Linked DNA regions of Mus musculus. The protein of the gene in region 6 interacts with the protein of the main gene of each other region in a pairwise test. Links are inferred from orthologs where the notes say so. Each region holds a gene or a part of one and is shown on either strand. Other genes may lie near its edges.

What was found.
Region 1: the proteins of Wdyhv1 (region 6) and Sfn interact in binary tests that used the Homo sapiens proteins (3 or more experiments, as listed by UniProt). The two-hybrid records come from large-scale screens. The link is inferred for Mus musculus from reciprocal best matches to the Homo sapiens genes NTAQ1 and SFN.
Region 2: the proteins of Wdyhv1 (region 6) and Cda interact in binary tests that used the Homo sapiens proteins (3 or more experiments, as listed by UniProt). The two-hybrid records come from large-scale screens. The link is inferred for Mus musculus from reciprocal best matches to the Homo sapiens genes NTAQ1 and CDA.
Region 3: the proteins of Wdyhv1 (region 6) and Klhl12 interact in binary tests that used the Homo sapiens proteins (3 or more experiments, as listed by UniProt). The two-hybrid records come from large-scale screens. The link is inferred for Mus musculus from reciprocal best matches to the Homo sapiens genes NTAQ1 and KLHL12.
Region 4: the proteins of Wdyhv1 (region 6) and Gnmt interact in binary tests that used the Homo sapiens proteins (3 or more experiments, as listed by UniProt). The two-hybrid records come from large-scale screens. The link is inferred for Mus musculus from reciprocal best matches to the Homo sapiens genes NTAQ1 and GNMT.
Region 5: the proteins of Wdyhv1 (region 6) and Nme1 interact in binary tests that used the Homo sapiens proteins (3 or more experiments, as listed by UniProt). The two-hybrid records come from large-scale screens. The link is inferred for Mus musculus from reciprocal best matches to the Homo sapiens genes NTAQ1 and NME1.
Region 7: the proteins of Wdyhv1 (region 6) and Tollip interact in binary tests that used the Homo sapiens proteins (3 or more experiments, as listed by UniProt). The two-hybrid records come from large-scale screens. The link is inferred for Mus musculus from reciprocal best matches to the Homo sapiens genes NTAQ1 and TOLLIP.

What each region holds. Positions count from the first base shown.
Region 1 is NC_000070.6:133,600,056-133,603,563, forward strand, and holds Sfn (14-3-3 protein sigma), read right to left. Parts: upstream 2,114-3,508; 5' UTR 1,715-2,113; coding exon 968-1,714; 3' UTR 501-967; downstream 1-500. UniProt on the Homo sapiens protein: Adapter protein implicated in the regulation of a large spectrum of both general and specialized signaling pathways. Binds to a large number of partners, usually by recognition of a phosphoserine or phosphothreonine motif.
Region 2 is NC_000070.6:138,365,156-138,369,283, forward strand, and holds the start of Cda (cytidine deaminase), read right to left. Parts: upstream 2,801-4,128; 5' UTR 2,789-2,800; coding exon 2,635-2,788; intron 1-2,634. UniProt on the Homo sapiens protein: This enzyme scavenges exogenous and endogenous cytidine and 2'-deoxycytidine for UMP synthesis.
Region 3 is NC_000067.6:134,462,031-134,465,530, reverse strand, and holds part of Klhl12 (kelch-like protein 12), read right to left. Parts: intron 1,705-3,500; coding exon 1,551-1,704; intron 1-1,550. UniProt on the Homo sapiens protein: Substrate-specific adapter of a BCR (BTB-CUL3-RBX1) E3 ubiquitin ligase complex that acts as a negative regulator of Wnt signaling pathway and ER-Golgi transport.
Region 4 is NC_000083.6:46,726,366-46,730,628, forward strand, and holds the start of Gnmt (glycine N-methyltransferase), read right to left. Parts: upstream 2,801-4,263; 5' UTR 2,787-2,800; coding exon 2,581-2,786; intron 1,028-2,580; coding exon 900-1,027; intron 352-899; coding exon 241-351; intron 47-240; coding exon 1-46. UniProt on the Homo sapiens protein: Catalyzes the methylation of glycine by using S-adenosylmethionine (AdoMet) to form N-methylglycine (sarcosine) with the concomitant production of S-adenosylhomocysteine (AdoHcy), a reaction regulated by the binding of 5-methyltetrahydrofolate.
Region 5 is NC_000077.6:93,965,473-93,969,770, reverse strand, and holds the start of Nme1 (nucleoside diphosphate kinase A), read left to right. Parts: upstream 1-1,498; 5' UTR 1,499-1,550; intron 1,551-1,745; exon of another isoform or gene 1,746-1,810; intron 1,811-3,833; 5' UTR 3,834-3,837; coding exon 3,838-3,963; intron 3,964-4,298. UniProt on the Homo sapiens protein: Major role in the synthesis of nucleoside triphosphates other than ATP. The ATP gamma phosphate is transferred to the NDP beta phosphate via a ping-pong mechanism, using a phosphorylated active-site intermediate.
Region 6 is NC_000081.6:58,139,882-58,144,165, reverse strand, and holds the start of Wdyhv1 (protein N-terminal glutamine amidohydrolase), read right to left. Parts: upstream 2,801-4,284; 5' UTR 2,674-2,800; coding exon 2,585-2,673; intron 959-2,584; exon of another isoform or gene 897-958; intron 1-896. UniProt on the Homo sapiens protein: Mediates the side-chain deamidation of N-terminal glutamine residues to glutamate, an important step in N-end rule pathway of protein degradation.
Region 7 is NC_000073.6:141,883,271-141,885,461, forward strand, and holds part of Tollip (toll-interacting protein), read right to left. Parts: intron 1,312-2,191; coding exon 1,097-1,311; 3' UTR 1-1,096. UniProt on the Homo sapiens protein: Component of the signaling pathway of IL-1 and Toll-like receptors. Inhibits cell activation by microbial products. Recruits IRAK1 to the IL-1 receptor complex. Inhibits IRAK1 phosphorylation and kinase activity.

The DNA.
Region 1 (3,508 bases), on a different chromosome or scaffold from region 6:
TCCTCTTCAGCCGATTTCTTTTTGTCCCTGGGCCTTGGGGAGCTTTCCCTTATTTGATCTGTTTTATTGGAGGCACTATGCCCCTGCCTCAGATTGCACCCCTCGGCTCAGATCTGAGCACTTGACGTGACCGTTTCCCGCTTCTTAAAGTGAGGTCCCCAGTGCCACTTGTGAAGCGTGTCTCTTAAGGCCACTGTGCCCAAACTTCCCTGACTTCGCGGCTTTCCCGCCTACAGCCCCCACTCTCCTCTGCTCTCCTGACCTGCCTCTGTGCTCACCTGGCCTGAGCCGAAGCGCTGCGGGGACTTCCTGGTGGCCTCTCACCTGAAGTCACCCTACCCAAAATTTCCAGGTCACCGACACCGACCCAAAGGCTCGTCTCACTTCCAGGTCACCCAGACAGCCCCAAGGGACAGACCTAGCTCAGAGTTTCAGAGTCCGGTTCTCTTAACTCATTTCTAATTCTACTCTCAACCCATGGCCAATAACTGAAGAAGACCGAGTGTCACAGGGCAACTTTATTGAGTGGTAGCATGGTCACACCCAGCAAACGTGTTCCCTCTCATTCACTCTCTCTCTCTCTCTCACACACACACACACAGAGTTTCCCTCTCTCTCACACACACAGCCCTTGCCACAGTCCAGTTCTCAGCCACAGGGTGGGGAGCCTCCTGGATTATTCGGATCCAGAAGCAACAGGTGCCCGAGGGAGGCTCAGGGGGAGGAAGTGGGGAGGGGGTGCAGAGAGCAGGGGTGGGATGGGTTGGGAACACCCACCAGACAGCTACACGAAGAGTGAGATTCCCTGCCCTGGTGGCTTCAGCTTGGCTGCGCCCCCTTCAAAGGAGCCTTCCAAGGTGTGGCTGAACATTCAGGGTTTGGGAAGGGCAGAGTCCCACTCCGTTTTAGTCCTCTCTGCAGGCTGGGGACTGGAGGGCAAGGCGAGCCGGGGTGGTTGTCGGCTGCTTCAGCTCTGGGGCTCCTCCGGAGCCTCACCACCCTCTTCCCCAGCACTGTCGGCTGTCCACAGCGTCAGGTTGTCTCTCAGGAGCTGCATGATGAGGGTGCTGTCCTTGTAGGAGTCCTCACTGAGGGTGTGCAGGTCGGCCATGGCCTCGTCGAAGGTGGTCTTGGCCAGCGAGATGGCCTCCTCGGGGCTGTTGGCTATCTCGTAGTGGAAGACTGAAAAGTTCAGGGCCAGGCCCAGGCGGATGGGGTTGGTAGGCGGCATCTCCTTCTTGCTGATGTCCATGGCCTCCTGGTAGGCTGACCGGGCAGAATCGATGATGCGCTTCTTGTCATCGCCAGTGGCCACCTCGGCTAGGTAGCGGTAGTAGTCACCCTTCATCTTCAGGTAGAAGACGCGGCTCTCTGCATCTCCAGCCCCTTTGATGAGGTGCGAGTCCAGCAGGCCGAGTACGGTGTCGCACACACCTCTGAGCTCGGTCTCTACCTTCTCCCGGTACTCTTTCACCTCGGGGCCCTTCTCTTCTGACCCCTCCTCGTTGCTCTTCTGCTCGATGCTGGACAGGACCCTCCAGGCCGCTCTCTGGCCGCCCACCACGTTCTTGTAAGCTACGGAAAGCAGGTTTCGCTCCTCGCAGGAGAGCTCCTCGCCCTTTTCCACGGCGCTCTTCATGAAAGCTGCCATGTCTTCATACCGTTCGGCCTGTTCAGCCAACTTGGCCTTCTGGATCAGACTGGCTCTCTCCATGACTGCGAGGATGGACAGACAGACGGGCGAACTGGCTGTCTCGAGAGTAACGCTGGGTTCTGCGGCTCCCTTGCTCTGGCTCTGCCTTTTGGCTGGGGTGGCATGGCCCTGAGAAGAGTTGGGCGTGGTCTGAGCGGGCCTGGGCCCTGCCTCCTCCTAGTCTTCGCCACACCCTTTCCGGCTCTACCTTTAAGGTAAAAGGGCTGGGACGGGAGGGGGCTGTGAGTCACCAGGACAGTCAGCAGGAGAAACCTGGCCGCAGGTCCCACCTGCAAAGGCACCTTTCGGCTCCAGACTGCCCCCTGCAGTTCAGGGCTGGCTGCATTGCAGGAGCGTCTTGGATTACCAAATCAGATTGTCTTTCAGGGTGATCTTCCAGGCTTCAGCCACCGAGCTGCTTTAGCCCAGGCAGAGCCCAGGGAGCTGGGACAGTTCAGGTGAGAACTCATGTATAGGTAGGGCTGTACAGTTTCCCCCAAACTTGCGCATCCATGATCTGATGCAACTACCCCCAACCCCCGAATTGGCTCTGTAGGACTGTAGAGGTAGAACTATCAAGTCTCAGGGGTGAACCAAACCAGTTTGAGGTCACAAGCTGCCAGCTCCCTTAAACCCCTCCCCCTCCGTGTCCCCTCTTCCTCTTGGCTCTCTTTGGGGGCCATTAGCTGAGCCGGCCTGAAGATAGCTCCATCCCTTGGTCCTTGTTCTCCCTCAAGATGCCCTATGAACACCCCAGATGCGCAGGTGGCATCTCAGGGTGCCACTTAATGAAGTGTTTAACGAGCGGCCTCTGACGCTCCAGCCCAGCCTTTGTAATTAGTCACCCAATATGTTTGTTGGACACCTTCCCCCTTACAGCACAATTTTCCCTTTCAAGTTGGTGGCCTGTTGACACTTGTCTGAGACTTTACTCTCTGGTTCTCCACATCGGGTCACCCGTCCCTTCCAAGCTGCCTGTCGTCATGTATCGGCAGGGTTCCCAGAGGGTGGGGGCCTAACTCTTTGACTGTCCCACTCCCCTGCCTGACTCAGATTACCTCTGTCAGAGGCTGGGAAGCAGGCCACCTGGGTGCTCAGTCCAGTTTGGTCCCCCAGGGGGGACGCTATCAACCTGGGGAGGAAGACAGGGCTGAGGGAAAGGAGCTGGGAATGGCACATTCCATTTTGTTTTATGGCGCAGTGTGTGATTCCAGCCCAGTATGATCCCTCACTTGGCTCCCAGAGGTTCTCAAGTCCCTTCAAGACTCTGCCTCTGACCCCTGAGAGAAGTCTCCTTGGAGATGGAGATCACTTTGTTCCCAATCTTCCATCCCTGATTGGTTGGGCCCTATTTTCAAGGCCCATGATAAGAATGGGCACTGAGGGTGTGTTCCTGCTTATGTGCCCCACCACATTCTTCAAGTTTAGATGGGACTCCGTGGTTCCTTCTAAAGAAGTTTCTTCCTAGGACCCAGCCAGTCTAACCCTTGAAGCAGGACTATTGCACAACCTTGCCTGTCTCCTCACAGTGTCTGAGCACTCGCCTTGCCTCCGGGAGAGGTGTTGTAGGCCAGAACCCTGAACAGGCTGGAATGTGCTTGGGCCACGGAGTAGGGGCTCTTGAGAGACTTCAGGGTCCTGGCTAATTTTACAGGTTCTCCCAGGAAGCAGATGGGATTTCTGTCCTGAGATCTTGCGTGCTTTGCCTAACTCATGGCACAGGCACAGAACTACAGTAAAACATCAAGTTAGGGAAGACCACGGTAGTGTACGGCTAGAGTCTGAGCATTTAAACTCACACAGGGGACATGCCAG
Region 2 (4,128 bases), on a different chromosome or scaffold from region 6:
CCCCTGTCTTGAAAAACAGAAAACAGCCAAGCATGATAGCCCACGCCTCTAATCCCAGCACTTGGGAGGCAGAGGCAAGCAGATTTCTGAGATCAAGGCCAGCCTGGTCTACAAAGTGAGTTCCAGGACAGCCAGGGCTACACAGAGAAACCTTGTCTCGAAAAACCAAAGGGGGGAAAAAAAAAAAAGAAAGAAAAACAGAAAACAGAAAAAAGAAAACATTCTAATGATAGGTACTTGGGTGCATGGCAGTGCACACTTTTAATAGCAGCACCAGGAGGCAGAGGCAGGCAGAGATCTGAGTTTGAAGCCAGGCTGGTCTATTGTTCTGGGACAGCCAGGGCTACAAGGAGAAACCCTATTTCAACAAACAAACAAACAAACTTGTCATGGAATCTGAGTTGGGTTAGCCTGCCCTGAAATGGGAGCTAGCCTGGCGGTTTTATCCGTTTTATCACTGCTGAGAGAAAGCTTCCTGACTAATGTACACGACAACGATGCTCACCTGCCTGCCTCCAGCACTGGCTGTGAGATTACGAGAGACCCACATAGGTTACAGAGGGCTCCTCATTCTACTGAACCTTCTGACTGTGCTCTTGGTCCCTCCTTTCATCCTATTGGTTGTCTCTCACAGCTTCACACCACCTCCCCCTCCTCTTCCTCCTCCTCATGTGTGTGTGTGTTTGTCTCTCTCTCTCTCTGTGTGCTTGTGTATCTGTGTGTGTCTGTCTGTATCTGTCTGTCTGTCTGTGCATGTGTATGTTTGTCTCTCTGTGTGCCTGTCTGTGTGTATCTCTGTGTGTGTGTTTGTCTCTCTGTCTCTCTGTCTGTCTCTCTCTCTCGCTCTCTCTCTGCCACATGTGTACAGAAGCCAGACTGGGTCAGCTTCAGGTATCATTCCTCAGATACCATCCATCCACCTTGTTCTTTGAGACAGTCTCTCACTGGCTTGGAGCTTGCCAATCAGGCTAGGCTCTGTGGCCAGTGAGCCTCAAGGATCCATCTGTCTCCATCCACCCAGCACTGGGATGACAAGCGTGTGTTGTGCCTATGTTTACCGGCTCTGGAGATCAGCACTTTACTGACTGACAGGTCATCCCATCTCTTTCCTCTTCTTCCTATTTCCACAGTCCTGGCCCAAGCCCCTTGCTCACATACTCCACAAACCCCATCTCGAGAGAACTCAAAATAGCTTCAGGAAGTCCCTGAAACTGACCAGAATCACTGGACCCCTGCCCCCCTTCCAGAGTAGACAGTAAAAGCTCAGGGTCCCTCTCAGAGGAAAGACGCTGAGCTGCCTGAAAGAGGGCTACAGCAACCAAGCCACCTGGAAAGGATGCTCTCCATCTAACCTGTGAGCTGCCTGCAGGCTGTGCAGTCAACTCCAGTTTCCCAGCGTTGGAAGCTGGTACCCATGCTGGGGTGGGCCTTGGTGATACAGCTGGGTTTTTTGAGTCCTTTCTGCTCCTGTAAGTGACCCCTCACCCATATTCCTGTAGGTAAGTCCAGTTGGTTCACCAAGTTGGACTTTGGAGGTATCTGTACTTCGACCTGTTGTGGGCTCCCTCTCTGGGGTGAGTAGACTTGTGTTGCATCTCCCCAGGGAAGGTTTTGTCACACAGCTGGGTGATTCATGAAGCTCACAGAGGCTCAGTCAACAAGGCATACGAATGGGCACTGTAGTTGTCACCTGTCCACACCATGTCCCAACTGAACATGTCCTTAAGTTTACCAAGCTCCCTTCTTTCCTCCTCCTTTCTCCTTCCTTCCCTCCTCCCTTCCCTTCCTTCTTCCCTTCCCCCTCCACCCTCCTTTCTTTTCCTTCCCTTCCTCCCTCCTCTCCTCCCTCCTCCTTCCTTCCCTCCCTCCTCCCCTTCTTCCTCCCTCTCTTCCTCCTTCCCTCCCTTCTCCTTCTCTACCACTCTCTCCTTCCCTTATTCTCTTTCCCCTCCTTTTGTTCCCCTAAACCCAGACCCTTGTGTGAGCGAGTACCACACCATAGCTGCAGCCCATTCTGGCCTGCTTGAGGGTCTATAAACATGAGCTCAGGGCAGATCCTGTTAACTCAGTAAAGACTGCTGGATTCCCAGACGGTGTCTGGATCCTCTCCTCCAAAAACAAACAAACAAACAAACAAACAACGCTCTGTCTGCCTGATGCCATCCCTCCCCAGCCAATCCCAGCACCCCAGGGTGCAGGAAGGTGGGGCTTTGGGAGGTCCAGCCCTGGGTCCCATCACCAGTGCCTCCTGTAACTTAGGACATGCCTCTGGCCTCAACTTCTTCATCTTAAAATGGGTCTAATATTGGGCAGGAGGTCAGAGAAAGAACTAACGGATGGGAGGTGAATACTGGGCATACAGGACACTCAGTAAGTAATCCGAGTCTCCTGCCATGCAGGTCGTGGACGGTTTTCATTTTGGCTTCTCCCTCTAATCTCACGTGCAAATTCCCTTCCCCACTCCAGACTTCTAAGAACAGAGAGGCACTGTGCAGATAAGCAGTTGAGTGAGCCCACAGCCTCGGTGAGAGCAGGGGAGGAGCAGTGAGGAGGGGACCACGCTGTTTCTCCTCTTCACCTGTACCTGGGCCCCATTCATGCTGCCCCAGAGTGGACTCCGGCGACAGCCCTTACCAGAGAAGATCCTCCCGTCCCCGGTGAGCAGGGCAGCCCCCACAGGGAAGCGGCTGTAGGGGCAGTAGGCTGACTTCTTGGCCTCACGAGAGGACAGCAGCAGCCGCTGGACGTGCTCGGGCTCCACAGCACAGGAGGGGCGTTCCTGGGCCATGTCGGTCCGAGGCGGGTGAGCTGGTCGCTGCAGAGGAGAGGAAACCGGTGCTGGCCGTCTGCCCGCACTGGCCAAGAAGAGGTGGCTCCTCCCCCGGGGTGTGTCCCTGCGCTAGAGGGAGACCTGGAGGCTGGCTCCCAGGCTGGCGGGATGCTGGCCAGGACTTGGCAGCCCAGTGAGTCTCCCAGGGCGGGAGCCCGGAGGATATGGAGTTTACGACTGAGCTGCGGGGGTCCCACGGTGGACCGGTATGTGGTGCCCACCAGTGAGACAGTTTCCTTTAACAACTTCACTCACTGTCAACATAGATCAAGAGTGGGCCACAGGGCGGGTGCCACCTCAGTGGATGGCTGTAGACACAGTCCCAGGGAGGAGGATTCTGGGTGGGTCTGTGTGACACCTGAGGTCAAAGCTCAAAGGATCCTGATTCCTCAGAATATTTAATGGCTTGTTTTTTACACCGAGAGAAGGGTTCAGGCTGAAAGTTCAGAACTTGGGCAACCATGTCAGCGTGCCAAGTTAGAAGGTATGCGAAGCCGAGGAAACGTCTCTGTTTTCAGTAGCTTGGCTTCATTTCCTTCCTGTCCTAACCTAGCCATTAAAACCATCCCAGCTGGAGGGAAACAGGGCCCTCCTTCTTCTTCCCTCCCTTCCTCCCTCGCTTCCTTCCTTCCTTCCTCTTCATGAACCTTGTTGGGTTGGTGGTACCGGAAATGGATTTACACCCTGGCTGTTCTCTTTGTCTTACACACAAATGTTAGTGGGTTCCTTGTCAGACGTCGGCACGTTTGCTGTCTACAGTGGGGGTAGCAACAGACGTGTGGGAGCTTTGGATTAGAGTGGGCTGTGGCTTGGGTTCCAGGTATCTGTTTATTAGCTCTCCCAGGAAGAGCTGCGCTACCTCTCAGAGCCTCAGTTTCCTTATCTACAAAATGGGTGCACAATTGGCAGTCCCTTCCTGTGGTTACCAGACTGAGATGATAATATGGTCCAGGGAGTCTGTGGGGAGAGGATATAGAAGTGGCACATGGGAACACTTCAAACAAACCGGCTTATTGTCCTTAAGTGACTTGGCCAAGTCCATAGAGAGTGGGCCGGATTGCAGCCAGCACAGCCAGACATGTCCAAGTGTCGCCGGATGGTCACCAAGCAGGAGTGAATCAGCAGCTTCTCTGAGGGCTTGTGTGGTGCTGAGGACTGGGAGGAAGAAGGCAGGAGAGAGCAGAGAACGGGGCAGCATCTCCCCACTCCCACCCCCACCCCACCCCACAAGCAGACACCTCTGCCCAATAGTTTAGCAACCCTGTACCCAGGACCCTGGGCTCCTAGCCATACATAGA
Region 3 (3,500 bases), on a different chromosome or scaffold from region 6:
AAATTTATTTTATTTACTTTTTTTTAAGTCCATGCCATTTCTCCTTCTCAAGTATAAGTTAATTTTAATTTTATTATTTTTTATTTGTCTTGGTTGTTTTGTTTTGGAGACAGGGTTTTTTTGTGAAGTCCTGGTTGTCCTAGAACCAGTTCTGAAGAGCAGGCAGGTCTCCAATTCACAGAGATCTACCTGACTCTGTCTCCTAAGTGCTGGAATTAAAGCATGCACCACCACTGCCTAGTATAAATTTTATTTTCAAAAGATATTTTAAGGCAGCCATGAGGATGTATACCTCTAATTCTAACATTTCAGAGGCAGAAGCAGATGGATATCCTTGAGTTAGAAGACAACCTGACCAGCAGTTCCCAGATAGCCACAGTTACATAGTGAGACCATGTTTCAAAAACCAAATACAGAAACAAACTAGGGGAGCCAGGCATGGTGGCCCAAGCCTTTAATCCCAGCACTTGGGAGGCAGAGGTAGGCAGATTTCTGAGTTCGAGGACAGCCTGATCTACAAAGTGAGTTCCAGGTCAGTCAGGGCTACACAGAGAAACCCTGTCTCAAAAACAAAACAAAACAAAACAAACAAATAAACAACCCCTAGGGGACTGGAGAGATGGCTCAACAGTTAAAAGCACTATTACTCTTGAATAAGAGTTAGGTTCAGTTCCCAACTCCCAGAATGCAGCCCACAACTGCCTGTAACTCCAGTTTGGGGGGAATCCAACACCCTCTTCTGATCTCTGTGGCCATTAGAGGTCATACATTTGAGAATAATATACACATAAAAATAATAAATAATAAAAGTAAACAGAAATAAATTTTCTTAAAAAGGTATTTTACATGATTCAAACAAAAAGGTTTATTTTAAAAAGTCCTCTTAGCCTCTACATGCACAAACATCAAATGACAAGGTAAATAAACAGAATCTATGTAGACAACGAATATTATCAGTTTCTTGGCAATTTTTACTATGTATGTATACATGTATGTATTAAGGAAATACCTATATTTTCTATTCTGCTTTGTTTGGTTCAGTTTAATTAGTTTATGCTATGGGTGCTTTGGAAACGTGCATCTGTGTGCCATGTTCCCAGAAGAGGGCATTAGGTCCCTTGCAGTGGAGTTACAAAGTTGTGAGCCACCAGTGGGTGCTGGGAGTCAAATACAGATGCTTCTGGAGAACAGTCCATGGTCTCAACTACTGAGCCTGCTCTTCAGCCCCTTTGCTTCATTTTAACATGTAGTCTCATTTTATGTACTAAATTGGCTTGAAACTTAACGCAATCCTCCTGTCTCAGCTTCTTAAGTGTTGGGATTATTGCAAAAACGGAAAAAGTTTAAATGTTTTCTTTTACAAGACCCAAATACTCTTATGTGGTGAGATTCTTTTGCATTGCTCTTGACTCTATCTTATCTTCCATGCTCAAAGATTCAAATGTCATGCTTCTAGACTGATCTCTCAGTCTCTTGATTAATTTTGCTTCAAATGAAAACACTTCCAGGGCTAAAGTGTCATGAACAAGGACACCTTTTACTGTCTGTACCTTTCAGCTGAAGAAGACAGGCTGCAGGGAGCAGTTCTTGAACATTCTCCACTGTCACATGTACTGTTTCTGTGTACACGAAGTCCAGCAGGATCTCCATGGTAGCAGCAGTTAAACCTTGAATGTCAACATACGGCTTCCCCTTCTCTGAAAGCTGAAAATTCAGGAGGTAGGAAAAGGACGGTACTTTCAATTCCACAAGGTAGACACAGAACCCAAGTCTAAGAGCTTAAACGGATGCTGGTACTAACTAAATACACATCTTTTAAAAACAACAATCTGAGACAAGAGAGATGGCTCAGTGGTTAAGAGTACTGGCTGCTCACTGCGCAGTGGTGGTGCACAGCTTTAATCCCATCCCTCGGGAGGCAGAGGCAGTAGATCTCTTGAGTTCCAGGCCAGCCTGGTCTACAGAGTGAGTTCCAGGATTGCCAGGGCTACACAGAGAAACCAAACAAAAAGGGTCCTAGTTGCTCTTTCAGAGGACCTGTGTGCAATTCCCATCACCCATTGCAGTAAACAATCATACCACCATTTCCAGGAAGTCAAGCCATTTTCTGACCTCCACAGACACCAGGCTCACACATTTGACACATACATGCAGGCAAAACACTCATAAGCATAAAATAATTTTATTAAAAAATTTAAATTATAATCTATTTTATTTGATTTGTATCTGGAAAATATGACATGTATTGTAAATCTTCAAATAAAATGGGCAGATGACTGTATCCCTAGGCGTGAACAATGGAATATCAAAATTTCTAGAGTTAACCTGATTCTATATTAAAACCAACATAGATGCCTTAAAGAACAGAATACAAAAGTTTCATTAACACTAGTGTCCATGTGCCTTTATGATAAAACATTCTCTCTCTTCTCTTCTTTCCTCTCCTACATACCACTCTATATGCTATGTGGCTGGCCTGGTTTTCAGGTTGTAGCCTAAGGTGTCTTTGAACTTATAGCCAACCCTCTCATCCCAGGCATTTGCCACCATGTATGGCTAAAATAGAAATAGTCAATGAAATTTCAGGAGAATGAACTCTGAGATTTATAGCTACAACCTCCTCCAACATCACCACATTCCTCTCATCCGCCCTCAGACTACATCTGGATAGAAAAAGAACATGAAGATCATTGTAAACGGCTCCTCTGTTTATGCTGCATGAGCTTGGGGGGAGGGGCAAGAGGCAAGCAGTGATCGAGAGCTGCTCTAAGCTATGCAGTGACATTGTATATCAAAAACAAGATCGTAATAGCAAAACCTCAGAGCCCTAGGGCAGAGACATGCAGATCCCATGACTCTCGAGCAAACTCGGGGTTCAGTGAGAGACCTTGAATCACACTGTAAAGTGGAGAGGTGGAGAAGCAGTTAAGGAAGACATGATGTCAAGCTCTGGGCTCACCACACCTTTACATGGGTTAGCACACTCATGCCCACGTGTGCTCACACACACACTCCTGTTACCACACTTTCATGTACTTCCACTGTTAACTAAATGGTTTTGTCATACTTAATTCCTCCATCAGCCCAAAGAGTAACAACAACAACAAAAAACATTCCTTAAAAAAATCAATCCCAAGCCGGGCATGGTGGCGCATGCCTTTAATCCCAGCACTTGGGAGGCAGAGGCAGGCGGTTTTCTGAGTTCGAGGCCAGCCTGGTCTACAAAGTGAGTTCCAGAGAAACCGTCTCAAAAAACCAAAACCAAAACCAAAACAAAAACAAACAAAAAAAAATCAATTCCAAGCCGGGCGTGGTGGCGCATGCCTTTGATCCCAGCCTCGGGAGGCAGAGGCAGGTAGATTTCTGAGTTGGAGGCCAGCCTGGTCTACAAAGTGAGTTCCAGGACAGCTGGGGCTACACAGAGAAACCCTGTCTCGAAAAACCAAAAAAAAAAAAAAAAAAAAAAAATCCCTCTTTATTTCCTGCACATAGGGAGACGG
Region 4 (4,263 bases), on a different chromosome or scaffold from region 6:
ATGCTTGCAATGTTCTTTAGTGCCAGCCGGTGCTCGCTCTGGTCACCTGGGTTCCCGGCAGGGCCACAGACACCATCTGCTTAGGCCTCCAGCACCACCTCCCGCCCCTGTCTCCCTCCCAAGTGCCAGCACTAAAGAAGACAGGCAAAATGCAGGTCTGCCTTATCAGGGCAGCAGGCCAGCCATCTTCGGACGTGGGGGAGCTCAAGGCAAGAGCCACAGCCAAGGCCACCAGCTTACCTTTGCAGTCTGGCAAGTGAGCAAAACTGTTCCCAAGGCAGATGACAGCATCAAAGCCATCTCCTGAAAGCACATCTTTGTCCAGCGTCAACCAGTTGGCTTCTTCAATGACTGGAGGCCAGGGCAGGGGTTGGGGGGGGAGTCGAGAATTATAGCACAGCACAGAAGCAACCACCTCCTCCCAGAGACACATGGGGACTCATTAGGGATGGAGAGAGCCACAGTTGGCAAAGCCAGCCCTCCACTTAGGGGCTTTTGTAGGGAGGAGAGACAGGATGTGATAAGACAGTTAAAAGTAGCTCTGTAGGGCCCAGTGACTTGACGTACACCTCTAGACTCTGTTAGACAGGAGCATCACTTAAATCTAGCTTAGCCAAGCCAGGCAACACGGGAAAAGCATAAAAACCGCTGGTAATGCAGCCCAGTGATCAAGGGTCTACTTGGCATGCCCAAGTTCAATGCCTAGCACCATAAATACAACAAACTTGCTCTTACCAGCCGGAATCCTACTCTGATGCCAAAGCCTTCCTTTTTAGGAAGTTGACAGGGACTGTACCGTGCCCTGAGGAAAAACCATTCAGCTCCACAGCAAGAGAGAGCCAGGGCAGAGAGTGACCCTGGAGGTGCATGTCTGGGGGGGCCTGGACAGACAGACTTACCCCAATTGTCAAAGGATGGCTCTTTCCTCCGGTTCCAGCGCTCCTTAAGCGCATATTTCAGCATCTTGTCGCTGGCGTCCACGCTCATCACGCTGAAGCCCTCTTCCACCAGCATGATGGAGTCCACTCTGGATGAGGTCAGAAACGGGGGACTAGAGGACCAGTCAGAGGAGCCTGGGAGGCCAAATGTGTGTGACATTTCCCCAGACATAACATTCCAGAGTCCGTTCCTCTGCTTCCTGTCCCAGGCCATCTCTACTGGTCTCAAGTGACCCATTAAGAATTTTCCTGGGGGCTGGTGAGATGGCTCAGTGGGTAAGAGCACCCGACTGCTCTTCTGAAGGTCCAGAGTTCAAATCCCAGCAACCACATGGTGGCTCACAACCATCCGTAACAAGATCTGACTCCCTCTTCTGGTGTCTGAAGACAGCTACAGTGTACTTACATATAATAATAAATAAATCTTAAAAAAAAAAAAAAAAGAATTTTCCTTATCAAGTAGCAAAAAAATTTTTTGAGAGTTTTTTTTTTTTTGTTTTTTGTTTTTTTTTTAGCCTGGTTTAAACAGTGAGTTCCAAGACAGCTGGGGCTACAAAGAGAGACTCTGTTTCAAAAAAATTTTTTTTCAAAATTTAATTTCATGTGTCGTGCCTGAATATGTGCATCATGTGCATACCTTGTGTCTGCAGACCCCAGAGAGGGTGCTGGGCACCAAATTTGGGTCCTCTGTAAGAACATGTGCCATCTCCCCAGCTGCCTCTTATTAGAAACAGGGTCTCCTAATGTAGCCCTGCAGGGCCTGGAACTCACAGAGAGCCACCTATTTAGGACTCCCTGAGTGCTGGGATTAAATATATGTGCCACTACTCCTGACATCAACACATTTTTTTTTATTTTTAATTATGTCTGTATGTGTAGTACATGTGAGTACAGTGCCCTCCACGGCCAGAAGGGAGCGCTAACCTCCCCCTGGAACGGAATTCCAGGCGATTATGAGCCACCTGATGCAGATGCTAGGCACTGAGAGCCTGTCTTCTGCCAGAGCCTAAGGGGCTCTTAGTAGTCGGACCATCTCACCGGCTCAATGGCTTTTTGTTGTTGTTTTTGTTTTTAAATCATAGTCAGGCATTCTACAAAAGTGCACTTGAGAACCTGGCATACTGGTGCTCCTGGAAATATCTCAGTCAGAGGTGTCCGTGAGTTCTGGGCTGAGTCGGGAGTGTGGGCCAGACACTATCCTGGTCTGTATCCTCTCCACCAAATGGGGGCCTTTTACCTCTTGGAAATGACTTTTTCTTTAGTACTACTGGTTGGAGAAAAGCGCTGCTCACCTCGTGGGGTTTTGTTACAGCTTGCAACACACGTACCCAAACTCCTGGCACAGCACTTGGCTGTGCAAACGTGCTACAAATGTTCTGTTCACACTGCCAGAGGCCAATCGCAGGAGGAACAGCGCCGGAGCCAAGGATCCACCTTGACCCAAAGCTCGGATTTTGCTCTGTCCCATGAATCCTTCTCTGCGCACACCCTGGCCCCTTCCCGCACTGTTTCGGCAGATGCTCTCCCATGCCCATACTACCCTGATGAGCAAGGGCTCTTGACCCCCTAGTACTGCCTGCCAGGCTCCAGCCCGCAGAGGCTGCCCAGACTGGCCTAAGCAGGCCGGCCCGTTTGGACTCACCCTGTGCCACAGGCTACGTCCAGCACCCTGTGGCACCCGTGCTGGCGCAACAGCCCAAGCAACCACGCCTTGTACTCTGCGGTACGGCTGCGGGTGTCCCCGATGTACAGCTGCCACACACGTGCGGCCTCCCCATCTGCATACTGGTCCGGGAGCCCTTCGGCCGCCACCCCCAGGGAGCGGGTACGGTACACGCTGTCCACCATCCTGACCGGCGCCTGGCTCTCAGGCCACGCGATCCGCACTTATAATCCTCTGGCAAGGCAGTCCCACCTGGCCAATGGCAGGTGAGAGCAGGGACACGCCCCTGCTGGGCCCTGGGCCCAGAGCCAGGCTTGCTGCCTCTGCCTTGAGGATGGCTCAGCACAGCAATCCTGGACCTGGCTTAGTAAGACAGGTCAGATAGGACTCGCCAGGGTGGCCGGGAGGAACTCACAAAGTAAAGCAATGAGAGATCACTCCACCCCTACCCAAGGAGGAAGGGGAAGAAGCCTGAAATCCACCCAAAACAGAATTATTACATGCCCAGCCCAGCACAGTGTCTACACAACACTGCTTATCATTTAGTGGAGGGAACACTCCGCTAAAGAGAGCCACTGTGTCGGGACATTATGAACAGTCTTTGAGAAAGATGCCCATCCAAGTACAAGAGTACACCTGGAGATAGGCGTGTCTCTCTTCCCCTCCCCCATACCAGCCAGGAGCCTCCTAAGGTAGCCTGGGCCTTCCAATCCATGGGCTTTATACTCTGCAATCTCTTAAAGGCTGGGTGTAGTAAGGTGAGACAGGAGGATTATTAGTGCTCAATGAATTAGTGAACAATGTGGGAGACATAGCAAGCCTTCCATCTGCTTTCCATGGGAGCACCTTCAGAGAGGAAAGTTGGGGGTCGGCAGGGAAGGTGCTCATGGCGCCCGCTCGGGCTAGCGTCACTGTATAACCTGAGGGTCCGTTTCGTGTTACCCGCTCACCCTTTTTACCCCACCAAGGACAAGATCCCAGCCGGGCTAAAGTCGGCTCTGGAAGATGCGTGTGAGCGACGAGAAGCCTGCCCCGCCTGCCCTGCCTGCCCACACACTTCCAACTCTGTGAACACTCGTTACGTGGAAAGAAGAGAGAAGACAGGGAGCATCCCGCCCGCCCGCCCGCCCGCCCTCCCTTCGCCTTCCCAATGCAGGGTGAACCCTGGAGATGGAAGGAGGCCCACAGTTGTGTGACTTAACCTTCTTATAGTAGGTATGGCTGTTTTGACTTCATAGATGTCAGTATGTGTCTGACGCCCGTGGAGCCCAGAATCGAGAGCTTCAGATACCCTGAACCTGCAGTTGTAGACAGTGGGGAGCCACTCGGTGGTGCTGAGGACACTGAACCCCACAGAGGACCAAGTGGTTTGTTTGGTTTGGTTTGGTTTTTGTGAGAAAGGGTTTCTCTGGCTGTCCTAGAATTCACTCTGTAAACCAGGCTGGCCTCGAACTCAGAGATCCGACTGCCTCTGCCTCCCAAGGGCTAGGGCTAAAAGCGTGCGCTACGACCCTAGCTGCAGATAGGGCTTTTAATGGCTGACCTATCTCTCCAGCCCATATTTTTTAACTTTTGTTAGCACAGCGCCAATCTCAAATGGTTCTGACCAGGCTCAGTCTTGGGGACTCAATGTCCCTACACACAGGCCTCTGACACTATGCT
Region 5 (4,298 bases), on a different chromosome or scaffold from region 6:
TTGTTTGTTTTGCTTTGTTTTGCTTGAGATAAGCTTTTGCTAAGTTGTGCTGACTAGCCTGTAATTCACTATATAGATCAGGCTTGTCTTGAAATCACAGAGCTCTTTAACCTGCCTGTTTTTTTGAGAGACATATTCTCTCTATGTCATCCTGGTGGCCTCTAAGTCTTGATGATCCTGCTTCAGCCTTCCCAGTGCTGTGAATTCATCAGGCAAGGCCCTTCTCATTTGACCAACACCCCAGTCCCTCCATTTCATTAAAAACAAAAGACAAAAAACAAAACAAAAAAAGCAAGCAAGCAAACAAACACATCATCTGGGCTGGCAAGCTGGTCCAGTGGCTATGAAGCACACACTGTCCTTGCAGAGGACCCAAGTTCCGTTCCTAGCACTCACATCAGATCACTCGCAACTGTTTGTAACTCCACCGCCATTGGAACTGACCACTTCATACACTGACATACGCGTGTACATGTAAATAAATAATAAGAGGCTGGAGAGATGGCTCAATGATGAAGAGCACTGTCTACTCTTCCAGAGGTCCTGAGTTTAATCCCCAGCAGTCACGTAGTGGCTCACAATCATCTATAATGGGATCTGATGCCTTTTTCTGGCCTGCAGGTATACATGCAGATAGAGCACTCATACATAAAATAAATACATCTTAATAAGCAAACAAATAAATAATGCCGGATGTGGTTATGCCTTTAATCCCAGAACTCGGGAGGCAGACTAAGAGGGAGTCTCTGCGAGGTCATGGCCAGCCTGATCTACACAGTGAGTTCCAGAAAAGTCAGAGTTACATAATGAGACCCTACATACAATAATAACAACAATAATAAAACCCTCCTCCCGCGTTTCCTACCATCAGGTATTCACTATAATTCTTGGCTCTCAGGTAATAACGGGCTTTCTCCCTTCATGTAGGTCCTTTTGATTATCACTTCTGCAGAGATTTCTCAGCCTTAATTTTTTCCCCCTGCTCTGTTCTTTCTTATCAGCACTTGCACTGTGTGTTCACTATCAATTTTCTCTTTATTGTCGCAATTCTCAACCCTACTAGTAAGCTCCCAAGTAAACTTCAACCCTAGGCTCTAGAATGTTCCTACCCGGCACATAGGATTCAGTACATTTGTTGCTTGACAGAATGAAGGGAAGGTGGAATGACACGGCCACTGAAGCTCTAGTTGTGACTTCATGCAGTGTGAGCGCCACCTGTCGGGAAAAACTAGATTTTCTCGGGAACGGAGGAAGTGAGTCACAGGCAGCCGTAGGGGAGAAACAGAAGATGGCCGCCAGACAGGGGGGGTAAAAAAATCCAAAACACCACACCCAGTGTCGGAAGTTAAACACTGGGCGAGTGCTCCCTAGAATGACATCCGACTCCCCAGAAGAAGCGGGGACCGGCGGTGTACCGCTAAAAGGGCTCCCCTGAATCGGAACTGTCCGAAAAGGTTCCGTGCGAGCAGCTGCGGGGAACCACGTGAGGCCGGGGAGCGTTTCCGGTGCGGGCAGTCGCAGCCGGCGGTAAAGCCTTGTCATCTGAAGGGGTAAGAGGGGTCAAGTTGAGAGTCAAGGAGACAAGTTGAGGGTTTAGGTGAATGGGGAGGGAGGTGGGCGTTCACTAAAGGGTGCACTCTCCGCGGGGTGTTAGGGAGATGGCAGGCAGGGAGATGGCAGGCTGTGGCCAGGTACAGACCTGTCAGCTTGATACGCCACGTGGGCTCGCCTTTGTCCGTGGCCGCAGTTCCTGTCCGGCTCGCGGCAGGGCTATGCCTTATTCTCTTTCCAGTCCGCTGTTGGGCACAGAGTTGGTACTCGGGTGGTGCTTGCTGAATGAATGAATGACACTCTCTGTGTGTGTGAATGTGAGTGAAGAGAGAAAGAAAGAGAGATCGGTATGCAGAGGCTTTCATAGAGGATGTTTCAGCCATTTCTGAATAATCTTTCCTTCAGACATTCTCCAGCTAGTCTGTGGCTTCTGTCTTTCTCTTTATGGGGGGCGCGATTGCCACTTAAGGCCTGCTCTTTGCTCCTATTGACTGCGAGACCCCGTGGTTTGGTATCAAAGATAGGTGGACTGGCTTACAGACCGGGCAGGCGAGAGGGACAGGAAGTCAGGAACAAAAATGATCATGCAAAGGTTCATGCATGCCCTAGCTCACATGTGAACCCCAGAAGGTAATTTTGTGGAGCGGGTTCGTGGGACCCAACACATGCTTGTAGTACAACTCAAGGTCTGCTAGGCCGTCTAGCTGGCTCAGGCCTCATTCTTAGGGTATAAAATTAGAGGTGAACCCAAGTTTAGAAAGACAGAGCCAGGAGCCGGTGTTGCTGTCCTCTTAGGTATCGTCTTTCAAGGTGGAGTCTCCTTTCATCTTGTGAGGCAGTGTACCCTGGAAATGGAACATTCTGGAATGGATGTTCTCCAGGTGTCTTCTTCCTGGATGATGCCCCATGTTAGGTATTGGGCTGTGGTTTTTCTCATAATCCACAGTTCATTGGTTAGTTACAATACTCATTGCCCTTTCCCCATAATATGTAATTTAATAAATGTTAATTGCTAGTCTTACATAATGGACTTTCAAGTTTTTATCTTTTTATTCTCTGACAATTTTCTACATGTATGTGATATATTTAGTCATTTCACCCTCTCCCCTTACACTCTCTCATCTAGCCTGAATTCTTCCAACAAGTTCTCTCCTACTTTCATGTCTTATATTTTTTCTCTCTGTGTGTGTGTTTGTGTGTGTTTGAATGAGTTTAATTGGAGTTGCTTGCTTGATGGATAGAGGAGTTATTTGCTGTGGCATGGACAGTTTACCCATGGCTACATCAGTGAAGAGTGCCCCCCCCCCCTTAATTGCCAATAATTGCCAATAGCTCCCAAGGCAGGGATAAGGCCTTGGGCCTTCTGAGTCCCTCCCCAATCTATGATAGAACATAGTCATTGTTTGTTTGCTTTCCCATTTTCTTCTTTTCTTTTTTCCTTTTCTTTCTTTCTTGCTTTTCTTTCTTTCTTCCTTCTTTTCTTTTTTTATGCTTTGCTTTGCTTTTTGAGTCAGGCTCTTATGTTGCCCAGGCTGGTCTGATTTTTTTTTTTTTTCCCTTTTGCCTTAGCCTTCCTAGGGATATAATTACTGGCATGTATCCTCAGGCTTGGCTTTTCTCATTGCATCCTGAGAAGTGTCCCAAATTGCACAGGGCTGGGAAATCTCATTCTTTGTAAAAACCAAAGATGGTTGTCGTGACATATTCTCTAAAACTTTTTTTTTTTTTTTCGTTTTTGGTTTTTCGAGACAGGGTTTCTCTGGAACTCATTTTGTAGACCAGGCTGGCCTCGAACTCAGAAATCTGCCTGCCTCTGCCTCCCGAGTGCTGGGATTAAAGGTGTGCACCACCACGCTCGGCTCTAAAACTCTTGCTGGCTTTAATGTCTGAGGTCAGACCGTCTTGTTCCAGATGTTGCTTTCCCTAGGAAAACCACACCAGTGCAACATCCCCTAATCTGTTTTACTGAAAAAGGTGCTGTCTTTTTGGTGTGTGTATGTCTTAGTTTACATCTCTTTCCTTAGCTCCATCCCAGTAGACGCTCAATAGGAGGTTACTAAATCAATGGAATAAACATTTCAGTTCCTGTTTTTGAGCCCTCCCCCACTTCAGGATATTAATTTGTGGGTGAATGAGCTGGGCAGGGATTGGGATTTTACTGGAGAGATTTGGGGTAGACATAGTAGATGAAAGCCAGCTTTATGGGGGTAATCCGCTTGAAAAGGATCATGATGAGCGAATCTCTTCAGCCCTGTTTCATTTCCCTGCTTGCTTATCCACAGGACCATGGCCAACAGTGAGCGCACCTTCATTGCCATCAAGCCTGATGGGGTCCAGCGGGGGCTGGTGGGCGAGATCATCAAGCGGTTCGAGCAGAAGGGGTTCCGCCTTGTTGGTCTGAAGTTTCTGCAGGTGAGTGGACCTCTGCCTGTGTTGAGTCTTTGGAGCATAGCGGAGCATTGCACAGTAACTTCTGTGCTTGTCTTGTCTCCTGTCTAGACGTCTCCATGGTAGGCTATCTTGGAGCCTGAAACCCTCTCAGTGACTAAGCTTGCTGGCTGAATCTTAGAACAAACCAAGTCATTTAGAGCTTTCAAAAATAGCAAGCTCTCTTTCCCCGCCCCAGCCTGAAGTCCCTCGTATTACTGCAGGGCTGTAATTTCTGACTCAGCTCTGGGTGTTTTAGAGCTCTTGGTCTTTAGCCTCCTAAGAAGATAATTTTAGAGACCATCCTTCTAACTCCCACA
Region 6 (4,284 bases):
TGCTTGCTTGTATAATTATGGACATTTTTTCACACTCCTCAGAGGAATGCCCTCCTCCCAGTTAACATCAATGACTCCATGAGAATCTGAGACAGCATGAGTCCAGAAAACGAAGGTGTGGCTAATGTCTCAGCAAAATGGTAAATACTGTGACCCTCAGGACAGCCCTTAAGGCTGTGGGAAAGAGCTCTAAATACATGAGTTTGAAAATATATAATTTCTCAACTATGCAAAAACATAAGGATGCAATATGAATTGTATAAGGAGTTTCACAGATCTAAATAGACAAGAGGCAGCTACTCTATATGACACAGATTTCTGAGTTCAAGCCTGGAACAGATCAAATTTAGGTCCAGGAGTGGTCAGAATGGTAATCTCCGGACAAGGTCCCAACTAGCTAAATTTACAAAAGCAGCCAGATCTCTGAATTCTTTTACAATGCTAAAAAAAGGGGGAGAAAATCTGCTTGTAGTCTCCTAAGAATTAAGGGCCTGGGGTCACAGGATTCATAGGATAATCAAAGGGGAACCTGGAGGTTGAGAACAGCTCTTCAAGAATTTTCTTTTTTCTTTCTTTCTTCCCGCCCTCCCCCACACCCTCCCAGGGTTTCTCTCAGTAGCCCTGGCTGTCCTGGAACTCTGTAGACCAGGCTGGCCTTGAACTCAGAAATCCGCCTGCCTCTGCCTCCCAAGTGCAGGGATCAAAGGCGTGCGCCACCAAGCCCGGCTAAGAATTTTTTTCTAACAGGATTTGGAACATGGTGGGACAATGTAAGGAGGGCGACCACAGCTCTTTCAGATCTTTTCTTAGCTCTTTTAGAATTTTCTCTAATAAGATTTACTGACACAGCTCTGTTAGCATGTCTCCTAGCAGCTAAACAGAAAAAGCTGGCAGAAGAGTGAACACAGCTCTTTTAGAATTTTTTTTCTGGCTTTCTGATTTTGATCAGAAAACCCAAGAATTACTTTTTGAGTATTTCTAACAGGATTTCTGACTTGGTCAGCAAACCCATGAGCTATCCAAAGAGCTTTTAGAACTTTTAATAGCAGAGAGAGCTGTCTTGAGCAGAAAGCTAGCTGTTTCAACCAAAAAGTTTTCAGAATAGCAAGAAAAAGCTGTCTCAAGCAGACACAGAGAGAGCAGTCTAGAAAGCCACATCAGCGGAACATAGACCACCAGCATGGACCAACAATTTGACTTCAAGTAGTTTTCACTGCTCCCAAACACCCCTTCTTTCAGAAACCCGGTCCCAGCTGAGGCCAGTCCTTGGCACTGCCAGGAAATTTATCTACCTTGTTTACTGCTCTATCCTCTGTGCATAGAATCAACCAACATACATTTCACATCCCTACGAAATATTTACTAAATAAATGGAAGACACAGAGTAAATGTTCCAGATAAAAACTAGCAGGATTTGGAAACCAGGCGGAGCAGATCTATAATGCAACAGCTAAAAAAGAAGGACTCCCAACCACCATGTAGACTCCAGATCTCATTCCACTTAGTTGTGTGGTCTGGGACAAACCACAACCATTCTATAGTTCAGCCTTTGTAGTGTCAATAATTACCACAGAACCTGTCTCCAAGACATCGCTCTACCACCCCCTGTTCTCAATCTGTGGGTCATGGCGTTGAATATCAGATATTTACACTACGATTCTTAACAGTAGCAAAATTAGTTGTGAAATAGCAACGAAGTTTTTACAGCTGTGGGTCACCACAACAAGAAGATCTGTATTAAAGGGTCACAGCCCTGGAAGATTGAGAACCAGGGCAAGCACTTGGACTTGAGCTAAAGTGGTCACTGGTCAGTCACAGCTGAATGCTAAGTTCTTAGAGTCCTTGTTTGAGTGACCAGCTAGAGTTGAGAGGAGTCTATTTAAATGATCCTGAGGTTTCTCCTGAGTTGGGATAGCAGTCCCTACACAAAAGGAAGATGAGGCCTAGGGACAAAAAAGGCAAGGTGAACGGTGTTTGCACAAGCAGCCTAGGACACTAACCTCACAATCCCGGGGCCTTGTGTAAAACAGCAGCACACCCTTCAGTACCTCAGAGTTCTTCCAAGCTGCAATCACACCAGTACCTACCTCTTGGGATTACTGTGAGGTTCAACTGAGTTAATTTACACCATGCACGCAAAACAATGCCTAGCATATGGCAAGGATGGTGCAAATGCAACCATTATCATATGGCCAGTAAGGTAATGCCAGTAAGGTAATCAGGGTAGCCAGTTGCCTGAACTGGATTTCCTACTACCACAAATTCTGTGTCTCCATTGTCTTTAAAATTATAAAGACGTATACTTCAACCTGAATCAATGCAGACTTCAACAGTTACCATTGGGTCTCCAGCCTAACTCCCCTCCCTCCCTTGTCCCTATGCACTAAGACGCCCCGACTTCACCCCACTGCTCAGGCTCAGCTAAGGAGACCAGAAATGCGTTCCCCACCCTCCTCATCCCGGCGCTAAACCCGGGCAGTGTAGGCCAGCAGCAGCACTCAGGGGAGCATCCAGGAGAGGGGCGCATTGGTGGCGGCGCGCGAAACCGCGCAGATTCCCGGGGTCCGCGCCCGCGCTCTCTCACCAATAGCAGCTGTTGTAGACACATGCGTCCCGCGTAGGACAGACCGGCTGGTACTGCGGGGCCGTGGCGGCGGGGCCGTCCCCCTCCATGACCCGAAGCTGTGGCTCACAGGTCAACTAAACAACCCGCTGGCCGCAATTGTCGCCAGTCTCCCAGGAGGAGAGGACAACAGAGTAGGCGGCCAGGACAGTTTCCGGGTGGGAGAGCCGAGAGCCGGGTGGGCGGGGCCCCGTGCAGCGTGAGGGCGGAGCCCGGGATGACGAAGCCTGCGTGGTTCCGGGTGGGCGGGGCCTGAGAGAATGAGTGGGATCTGAGGGGGGTGGGGGTGGGGCGAGGCTGGTGGAGAGGGGGCTGGGAATGCGAATCTTAGGATGACTTGAACTGTGTAGTTCTTGCCAGGTTTTGCGTGGTGGGTGGAGCCTGTGGCAGAGCGGGATGCACTTAGAGGCTTCCCTCTCGCCCCGCCCCCCCCACCACCCGGACCCCAAACCGAACCTGTTCTTGAGCTACGCTGCGTAGACCTAGTCGCCCTCCCATGGAGGGATTGCTTGTGTTGTTGCCAGTGTTTAGATATGAGCTTCCGGATACACTTAAAACTCCAGCTAAGGTTGCCCGCTGTGTGAAACCAGAAGAAACTCTAAACTAAGAGATGCTTGGGCACGCACGAAAGCTGAACCTTTAGAGCAGGAACTGAGAAAGAAAGGCGAACGGGGGGGGGGGGGGGGGGTGTTAGTGCAGTGCACCCAGATCTCACCATATTGTAATTTAATTTCTTCTCATCTGGATCTCTCTCCCTCTCCGTGTGTGTGTGTGTATTTTAAAGAAAAAAAGTTTTAACCAGGTGTGGTGACAGACACCTAAAGTCCTTGCATGCAGGAGACTGAAGCAGGAGGATTGCTTCTAATGCAAGGTGATCCTAGACTACAAAAGAATTTTTCTTTTAAAAAAAAAAAGATTTAAAGAGTCTGGATAGCATTTTGTGTTAATCATATTTATTTTCAAAAGAGAAGACACCAAATTGCTAAAACAGTGTTTATGCATAGTGAATTAAAGACATAGAGAACTGTCTCTATAGACATCCCAGTCTCCTGTGTGTGCCTTAAGTGCTCAGAGAACCTCCCTGCAAACGCTGGACTTCTTAAGATTAGATTATAGGCCACCCACAGACTCTCAGCCTTCTGAGACCCCAACCCCATAAAGTGCTGTGCTGGTGGTATTCTGGTGAACTTCAGCTGCTGTCCAAAACCCATAAATCCTACAAACTAAACATGTGTTTGTGTCTGTTACCAATTTATTGTTTCAGCTTGAATACTCCCTTCAACAGAGGCTGGGAGGCAGGGAGTGGCAGTCATGAAGCCTCTCTTGGTTAGTACAAAGTGAGTGTGAAGTTAAGCTTTCTCAGTAGAAGGATGGAAAGAGATTGCAAGGGAAAGAGGATCCCTGCAGTTTCTAGAAGGGACCAGAGCTAGTTGTGTGATCATCCTGCCCTCCAGTGGAGTCAGCTCTGGACAGACACCAGAACTTGGGGAAGCCTGCTTGCAGTTGTGTGTGGACAGCAATGGCCTTCTGTCTTAATCAGGGTTTCTATTCCTGCACAAACATCATGACCGAGAAGCAAGGAAAAGCAAGTTGGGGAGGAAAGGGTTTATTCAGCTTACACTTTCACATTCCTGTTCATCACCAAAGGAAGTCAGGAAGCA
Region 7 (2,191 bases), on a different chromosome or scaffold from region 6:
ATCTTAGCACAAGGCACCACTCAATTTCTCCCTAAATACATGTATGGCCAGGTCACGGGCTCAAAGGTTTGCAACCTAAAATACACTATACAATATCCACTGGTCAGGTACAGGCACCTCTACCTTTATGAAAGTTTAATTTAAGCATGAATTTTTATCACTCAAGCCAAGCTACAGTATGGGTCCACAGAGTATACTGCAGGTCAGTAGTGTCACAATGCTTGAATTTTAGTAGTAAGCACATAGTGCCACACCCACCCATCTCCTTCGCTTGACTCTGGGCTCTGTGATGAAGGTCTATCAACAAGAACAGCCCCTGGAGTAAGACCCATGATGCTGGTACTAAACAAGAGGATGTGGAAAGCAGCCTCCAGCAGTGAGGGCTAATGTGGGGCCTGGCCAACCAAGCACCAGGTCTGGATACCTTCTGTATTCAAGTTGGATTTCTGTGGCTGAAGCCTAGCCAGACAGTGGCAGATAAGCTAGACAGGAGGTTAGAGACCCACTGGATATGGCTGGGAAGCATATCTCACTGGCCAGGACTAGCTGAGGGGCCCATGTTCACATACAACATCAGAAGAGGGAAGGAGCTTTTAGCTTGAAAGTTCTAAAAATAACCTGTAAGTAAGTGCACATGAACTCAGTGCACCCTCAACAACCATCCCAGCTGGACTGAGTAACTCCATGCCATCCATCCATCAACTCAGAAGGATGCTGTACAATTTCTAGTATCTTGGCAGAGGCAGTTGCTTTCTGTAAGAATGCTTTCCAGAATAGGGTGAGGACAGGAGATGCAGGTCCCCAAACAGGACCACTGATCTGTGCAATAACAGGGCCATGCCACCATCACCCAGCTAGAGACTAGGAGAGAACTGTCCCCTAACTCTGTCCCCCAGCAACAATGAAGAGGACTGCCTGCTTAGAACCAAAAATCCACATGCATCCCCGAAATATGTAGGAAGGGGCGGCGCAGATGTCCAAGGAAGGGGTATGTGGATGGTCTTTCATTGGAATCTTGTGGGGATGGTGACCCTGGGGAGCCCTGGGTGGACAAGTCCAAGGGTCAGTGGTGTGAAGCCAAGGGCCACAGGCGGGTCTAGGACTCTTCACCCATTTGCAGCAAGGAATTGATGGCAGCATCTTTGTTCCCTCTCTGGGCTTCAAGCACAGAACGGATTACTTCCCTGTCCATGTTGGGAAACATGTCCTGGATAGCTTTGAGGTCCTCTTCATTACAGCGGGGCTGAGGAGCCACAGCTGGTGGGGGCATGGCCATCGGCACCATGCCAGGGCTGCAGACAGCAGGCATCCCTGAAAACAAAAGTTGAGGTTGGTTAAAAAGAGTGGGTTCAGCCAGGTGTTGTGGTGCCTGACTTTAATCCCAGTACTTGTAAGGCAACAGGAGAGTCTCTAAATTCAAGGCCAGCCTGGTCTACAGAGTGAGTTCCAGGACAGAGACAGTGGGATCACAAAGCTGCAGTGCCAAAGGAAGAAATAATACATCTCACTGGCCTCAAGGGAAAAGGCTACCTTAATCTGACTGGAAAACAGATCCCACAGGGATGCCCATGACAGATGGGATGGGCCATCCTCCTCACTACTGAGGCTCCCTCTCCTGAGGTATTTTCTTTCTGAACAAAAATTCAAGTTGAATATATCTAGTCAAAAATTACAGGGAGCAAGATGAAAATTTGGTAACCACATGTGCTACTTCAAGAACTTAGGAGACTCATCACGGACATGAGTCTTTACTGAGAATGCAGACAACAAACTAGTATGCTTGTTTTACCCAATACTCCAAAGTCCACTTGTGTCAAGATTCTAGAATTCACCTTCACAGCCTAACAAAGGCATTACAATAGTCATGCATATGGCAAGGTATAGCTACATAAAGTACTCCCTGAAAACTTCAAGAAAAGCTGCATATTAGCCTTTCACAATGAAGACAATACATATCAGAAAGTACATCACTTTCCAGCAGCCTGAGGTACCAAGGCCCCCAGTGGGGCACGGGAGCTAATCCTTTTGCCATGAGAGCAAAAAAGGCTGCTGGCAAAGGGCTTAGCACTGATGCTACATGGCTCCCTGCACCTTGTGATAGATGAAGAGGTACAAATTGAGAAACAGAGGCAGGTTTCCTAAGTACCCTCTGGGCCAGGCCATCACCTTCATGTCTCTGTCCTGACTGACC